2 linked regions of the Drosophila melanogaster genome follow. Changing the gene in region 1 together with any one later gene gives a genetic interaction. Each region holds a gene or a part of one and is shown in the gene's direction. Other genes may lie near its edges.

The links. Genes that interact genetically often act in the same process or in processes that back each other up.
Region 2: of numb (region 1) and aurA, changing one suppresses a phenotype caused by changing the other (phenotypic suppression), as found in Drosophila melanogaster (2 studies listed by BioGRID).

Annotation. Positions count from the first base shown.
Region 1 is NT_033779.5:9,447,925-9,451,681, forward strand, and holds the start of numb (numb), read left to right. Parts: upstream 1-1,905; 5' UTR 1,906-2,457; intron 2,458-2,671; 5' UTR 2,672-2,696; intron 2,697-3,757.
Region 2 is NT_033777.3:11,961,181-11,964,937, forward strand, and holds aurA (aurora A), read left to right. Parts: upstream 1-1,943; 5' UTR 1,944-2,111; coding exon 2,112-2,225; intron 2,226-2,289; coding exon 2,290-2,590; intron 2,591-2,652; coding exon 2,653-3,473; 3' UTR 3,474-3,646; downstream 3,647-3,757. Other genes in the region: CG3281 (uncharacterized protein), read right to left, coding at 1-1,323, 1,377-1,532.

The DNA of each region.
Region 1 (3,757 bases):
TTTTGAGTAAATCAATTCATAAGTATGCACTTATTATGGTTAATTTTGATTTTATTACTTTTTGAATAACTTATCCCAAGCTCGAAAAAGTTTGAAAATTTTATGTCATCTTTTAATGAAATTTGGAAATATTTGTATTATTAAATGATAGCAATAAGAATTTACATTTTTTCTGAGTGCAAGTCTGCTTTTTTCATCAGTTGCAGCACTTTGTTTTTTCTGCATTTAAATTGCGATAATGTTGGCGCGATTGGGTGCCATGTGTAGGTAGCAATGGTTTGCTCCCAATAGTTTTGATACCATTCTTTTTACTACCTGATTTTATGGGCTACCTGGATTAAAGTCGCTGCTGCATTGCAATTTTTCGCACGTTTCATTGCTGAAAACTCTCTTATTATCTATATGTATGACTGTCTCACGCGCACATTTGGGTATTTATCTTTCGGAGTTATCTATGTTTCTCTTAGGGTACAATTTTCTCTTAAAGAGCGAACGACCTTGCATCGCGCGCTCTTTTGTTCTACGGTTTCGATCGATCATTTTGCCATTGTTGTCACGGAATTTAGGTTGGGCAACTAATTCAAATCGATAAGTTCAATACATTGATTACCGAGCCTTGATTATTGTTCAGTTAATCAGTTTTTATTCTTTTCATTTGTTTTGTATGTCCGTTGGGATTTCATAACCACCTAGCCATCTTTTGCATTTTGTTAATAGCTAAGTCTTTGGTAACTCTCTTTGATGACTCTCTTGAGTGCCATAATCATTTCCATTCAAACCAAACCACTCGCTCTTCATACTCCATGTGGAAAAAACTGGCAGCTGCAGAACCAACGAAACCAACTGGTTTTGAATGCCCTTCTATCACTTCAATGGGGTATCTCAAATCCTGATTTCGAAGACAAAAAAATTTTCGGGATTAGTAATTTTTATTACGCAAGTTTTTAAAGATAACATCCTTAAAACTTGTAATTTTTACACCCGTGCAAAATTCATAATTTATTTTACAAAGTTTCCAAGAATTTGAGCGCTGCTAAAGAAAGACGACTAAAGACAATTCCGAACTTTAAATCCAAGGCGTATGGGTTAGCGATAAATCTGAGAGCCAGAGATATTACAAAACAATAAGAGGACCTTTTTGAACTACCCGGCTTTGTAATTATCTTAGCACTGGCCCATTTGGGAAATTCCCAGAGTTAAATAATAAAATTGAGCTCGTGTTTTCCAAGAATTTTCTCAACTTATCCCAACCGCAAATCTTTTAAGCCACGGTCACCAAATCGCGATCTCTAAATGCAGCGCATCTGAGATTATACCTGGCCGAGATACCTTAAACGCCACTCTCGCTCGCTCAACTTCTGCTATCTCACTCCCACTCTTGAAAACCTACAAGCTGCAGAAACGCGTCGCAGTTTTATCATTATCACAACAAATACAAACGCAGCAGAGCGGAGGTGAGATGGAAGAAGCAAAACGACGTCGTCGTTGGTAGTAAATAAACACAATGGAACTGAGCAAATCCACAAACGTACTGGTGCACTGAAAAAATCACTTTAAAGTTTTAAGAGGACTTAACAACTTGTAATATAATAAATAAAATAAAACACTATGATAATAATGGCTTAATAGGTTGTATTAAAAGCGCGTAATAGAATAAGGCAATACCCTTTGATGACGACCTTTTCCAAATCGATAGAAAAGTAGTAAGATCACTCTTCCCTCAAAGTGATCTTAACACCACATTTAGTTGAAATCAGGGCCAATTTGTTCGATTTTTCTCAGTGCACACACACACAGGCCGAAACACCCTGTAACAGCTGTCGCTCTCTTCCGCTCTTTGCACGCTCGCACTCTTTCCTCTCGACTCAAACAGCGCTGAGCGTGCGGCCAGAGTCAGCCAGTACAGTAGAGCAATTTGAGCCGCCGCATCGAGCTAACCGCTTACCGCTTGCCGGACAAACGCGTTCCGTTTTCCCTCCGCTTCCATTCGCTTTCGGCCCACTGTCGTCGTCGGTTGTCCAAATGTCCGCGTAGGGATAGTGTAACCTTTTTCCAATTTCCGGGGGGGTCATAGTAAAAAAGTTAACACCTAAGTAGTCCAGGCCTTTTGGGCCAAGCCGATCCCAGCCATCCATTTACCGGGCACCGGGCTCTTAACACGGGGATCGTTTTAATCGGTGTCGCGTTGTCGTTATTTCGGTTTTTCGCGATTTTCCCCACATTCCGTGTGCTGTGTGCTGTGCGAGGTGTTCTTGGAATTAATAAATAGTTAAAACCGAAACGTTGGCAAAAATCCACTGAATGAGCAAGAAAGTTATATAAGGCCCGAACCGGATTTATTTATTAATTATACATACGAATGTGATCAAAACAAAAACAGACTGACAACAAAACTCGGCTTTTTGGAATATACCAAAAAAAGCAACTCAAATACAAACCGATCCCGATATATATATGGTAAATGTTTAAAACCAAAAAAAAAAAAAAAACAGTAACAACAGCCAAAGTTGAGCTTAACTTGAGCTTCGGATTTAAAGCCAAGTCAAAACGAGTTTATTGTGGTGCAAAATCAGATTTGCATATACATATGCAATTCTTTTACAGCTTTACGCTAGTTGTTGCTGCTTTGACATTTGTAAAAACATAATATTCATTTTTGTAATAATTCCAGTTTTTGACGTCTTCAATATGCATTGGTATAGAAAACTAAAAACAGCTGTTCAAACTATGTAACACTATACTAGACTTTGCTTCGCAATAAGCTAAAGTATTCAAAATACGTTTTGGGGCATTAATTTTAATAATCAGGGGGAGTATATCCATTAAGGTTATAGCGATACCAGTAATTTAGAATGAATTACCCAGCTAAAAAACTCAATAAATCTTTGCAGTTTGCACTTGAACATAGCAATTGTTGAGAGAGGGTTAACAAATGAAATATATAAACACAATTAGCAATTAGCTGATTTTGGCTGGATCACATGAACGCACATACATACATACGCACATACGTACATATATATCTAAAAAGTTACGATTGACTGGATTCTACTGGTCTCCAGTCTCTCACGTTTCCGAAGATGAATCATTTGGCATGACTACAACTCTTCGAATCGATCGTATATAAAGACTATTTAGACTATTTCAAATATAGTCCCACATTTCAGTTTAAAATCCAATGAATTTCTGCCGAAGCATGCACATATTCTTACCACAAACTCTTCTCCCAGCTCTTTTGTAAAGTTAATTTATTTTAATGTATACTGTGTGCCAAATTATTTGACTGTCAACTGCATAAATTACTGCGATAACAAACAAAACGAAGAAAAAAAAGAAAAGTGGCAAAGGCAAAATGGAAAATGGGGAAAATTTCCCATTGAAATGAGTAATGAATTGGTTTGGGGCGGCTGAGAACGAAACCAACCGAGAGTGGGTGAAAATATATTATAATAACAGTGTAATTAAATGCCAACTTGGCCCCCGCTTTCGCCAGAAGAGAGTTTTTTGCAGCCGCAAACTATGGGATACTTTTGCTTTGCATAATTATGCTGTTCAACTTGATTTACTCGGAATGTTCTTCAAGATCTTGAGTTTCCACCAAAAGGGCTCCCTGATTTATGCTGCACTTTTTTCTTTTTTTTTTGGTAGCAATGCTTTGCAGCCTGGTCAGATTATAAATCTCAGCAGTTCATAAAAACTTCAGGCAAAAAGCTCCAGCAAAAACCATTCAGAAACATTCCAAGAAAAGCCAGAAACA
Region 2 (3,757 bases), on another chromosome or scaffold:
GCATTTGTAGCACATAGCCGGGACATCCGGTTTGGGGAGATTTTCCAGTCTCTGTTGCAATTGGTTTTCGGGAATGCGTTGCAGGCGCATACGCTCTATATCCTCCGAACGGCGCTGGTTGACCCTAGCATTTACATAAGGATCAGCAGCAAAATTTGCCTCTACTTCATTGCCCGGAATCACAGCAATCAGATGTCCCTTTCGGTTACGATGGATATTCAGGTGCGAACCGCACACAAAGCTCTCGCCGCACACTCCACACTGATATGGTCGCTCGCCCGTGTGGCGCCGCATATGGATCTTAAGGTCGTTGGACTGCACAAAGCTCTTGCTGCACATTTTGCAGGAGTACGGCCTTTGACCCGTGTGCAATCGCATGTGTCGCGCCAGCTTGTTCTGCGAAATAAACTTCTTGGAGCAGATCTTGCACTCACTGGGACGCTCGCCGGTGTGCTGACGCATGTGAAGACTAAGATCTTGGCTGCGCGGAAAGGCCTTCTCGCATTGATCGCACTTGTACGGATTATCGCCCGTATGTCGCCGAATGTGGATGGTAAGGCTAGATACGGGAAAGCTCAGGCCACAGTGCGGACAGTCTCGCCGCTTAGCTATGCGTTTTCGGGCGGAATTGTCCGTCGTTTCTTCGGGTTCCAATGCGATTGCGTCGGGATGGAATGCCTGCATGTGTCGCCGGAGTGTGTCCTGACGCTTGAATGTCCGCGGACAGTGCTCACAGGTTAGCAGACCGGTGCCGCAGCTCTCGTTGGCCAGCTTCATGGCGGCCACGTCCGCTGTCAGTTTGTGGGCTTGGGAAAAATGACGAGTCAGAGATTCACTTTTGGCAAAGACACGCGGACAGACGGCGCACTTGTAGATGAAGTTCGCCGAATGGTTCAAACGACTGCCCAGCTGGGAAGGTCGCGACAATTCTCTGTTTTCTATTTCATCTGGCCGAGGCTTCAGCTGAAAGGAGTCTTCAGGCTCATCATCACGATCCTCGCTCGCATAGAGTGGCTCTTCGCCCACATCTGAAGTAAAAGCTGAACAGTCTTGGTCTCCATACTTCTCCTCCATTTCCACGTGCTGTTCGGCAAAAGACGTGGACAGGTATTGTGCCATACTGACCACATCGTCTTGGTCTATAAGCTCCACGACATCCACATGAACTTCATCCGGCTTGGCAGCAACTTCCTGTTGCTCGAAGAGATTCTGTAAAGTTTCATGGGCGTTTTCCACTTCGACGATGAACTCATAGGCGCCGATCAGCCGGCGGGCGCAATTTTGACACAGATGCATAGGCAGATTTGGGTCCGTCCATGTCCACTGGAAATAATTGAACTTATTTTTCGAAGTTTCTTGAAATTGTAGCTCTTTACCTTCAATTTGGAAACTGCCTCCAACAACTGCCAGAGCTCCAACTTAAGGTCGTTGTATTTGATTTCATCGTGGACATACAGATTGGTCTCGTGCGTCTCCAGGCAGACGCGGCAAGTCTGCGAGCTTATATTTACGTGGATCTCCGGTGTGTCCATGATTCGGCATCATATCATAAACGACGAATTCCAATAAAAACTTTGCTTGTTAATAACACCTGATGTTCAGAGATGCCCGATAAAATCACAGCTGTTCTGGTTCACAGTCACCAGAAATAAAAAATATTGGAATTGAGATGTACACAATTAACGATATTTATAAATATCTTCCGATAGTCTATCGTCCGGTTAATCAAAATAAAGTGCGACGAATTAACATATTTTCAAAATTAAGACGCTTTGATAGATGTATTTGTATAGAGATAGAAATTAAGGTTAAAATAACATAAATGCCAAAGTTTAGAGCACTATTCAATAATTCTCTTGATTTCAAATTGAAATAATACACAATATAACATTTTCTAACACTACAAAGTCACGATATTCTTCAACCAACCGATAGTATCGCACACTTGCCATTCGCCTCATCACGCACACGCCCGCTTCACAATTCAAACGAACGGCATTTTATTTTCACAGGATCCCGGGAGTCGTGAATGTTTTACCCAATATCGGCTTTCATTGTTAACTGACCAAAATTGTAATCTGTTCTGTTAGTTGTCGAGTGCCTGTGCCGTCATGTCCCATCCGTCTGACCATGTGCTGCGTCCCAAGGAAAATGCTCCGCACAGAATGCCAGAAAAATCAGCTGCAGTGCACAATATGCAAAAGAACTTGCTATTGGGAAAGAAGGTACGTTAAGTGGTAAATCTCTGGAGTGCAGCTGAAACTCTTATTTGGTACCATTGTGATACAGCCCAACAGCGAGAATATGGCTCCAGCTAGCAAACCCTTGCCAGGATCCTCTGGCGCTTTGATCAGGAAGCCAGGCCTAGGAGGCTCCAATTCCATAGCTTCCTCCGAAGGAAACAACTTCCAAAAACCCATGGTGCCGTCCGTGAAGAAGACCACATCAGAGTTTGCTGCTCCGGCTCCAGTAGCACCTATCAAGAAGCCTGAGTCACTTTCCAAGCAGAAACCCACTGCTGCGAGCTCTGAATCCTCCAAGGAACTGGGTGCGGCCAGCAGCTCCGCTGAAAAAGAGAAAACCAAGACTGGTGGGTTAATGGTTCAGCTGTAATCTTTTGCAATTACCAAACTCAATTGTAATTTTCTGCAGAAACCCAGCCCCAGAAGCCGAAGAAGACCTGGGAGCTCAACAACTTTGATATTGGTCGCCTGCTGGGACGGGGCAAGTTTGGCAACGTTTATTTGGCGCGGGAAAAGGAATCCCAGTTCGTGGTGGCCCTAAAAGTGCTCTTTAAGCGCCAGATTGGCGAGTCCAATGTGGAGCACCAGGTGCGTCGTGAGATCGAGATACAATCGCACCTACGTCATCCGCATATCCTGCGTCTGTATGCCTACTTTCACGACGACGTGCGCATATATCTGATCTTGGAGTATGCGCCACAAGGAACGCTTTTCAACGCCTTGCAGGCACAGCCGATGAAACGTTTCGATGAACGCCAGTCGGCCACCTATATTCAGGCGTTGTGCTCGGCGCTGCTCTATCTGCATGAGCGGGACATCATACACAGGGACATCAAGCCGGAGAACTTGCTGCTCGGGCACAAGGGCGTCCTGAAGATCGCCGACTTCGGTTGGTCCGTGCACGAGCCGAACTCCATGCGCATGACACTGTGCGGCACTGTCGACTACTTGCCACCCGAAATGGTTCAGGGCAAGCCGCACACGAAAAACGTGGATCTATGGAGCCTGGGTGTGCTCTGCTTTGAGCTGCTAGTGGGCCACGCTCCCTTCTACTCGAAGAACTATGACGAGACCTACAAGAAGATTCTCAAGGTGGACTACAAACTGCCGGAGCACATTTCCAAGGCAGCATCCCATCTCATTTCCAAGCTGCTGGTCCTTAATCCGCAGCACCGCCTACCGCTGGATCAGGTGATGGTGCATCCTTGGATCCTGGCGCACACGCAGTGAACACATTCTTGTTTAATTTTCAGTTAATTCCTTTTAATTACATTTTTAGTTTAGGGCTCCCCGCGTAATTTAATTATGGCATCATAAATTTTCATTTATATAGATACGAGAAATTAACATTTATCAATTAAGTTTATTATTATCATTAGCAATAAAGTTTGTGTGTGTTTTCGAATGCTAGCGTACACTCCTATCTTATGTAGCTACCTAATCTCTAGCGAAATGGGTTGACGGAATTGCAAATGCAGAAGTGAAACGTGTAGGCAGCGACAAAAAAAACAGGC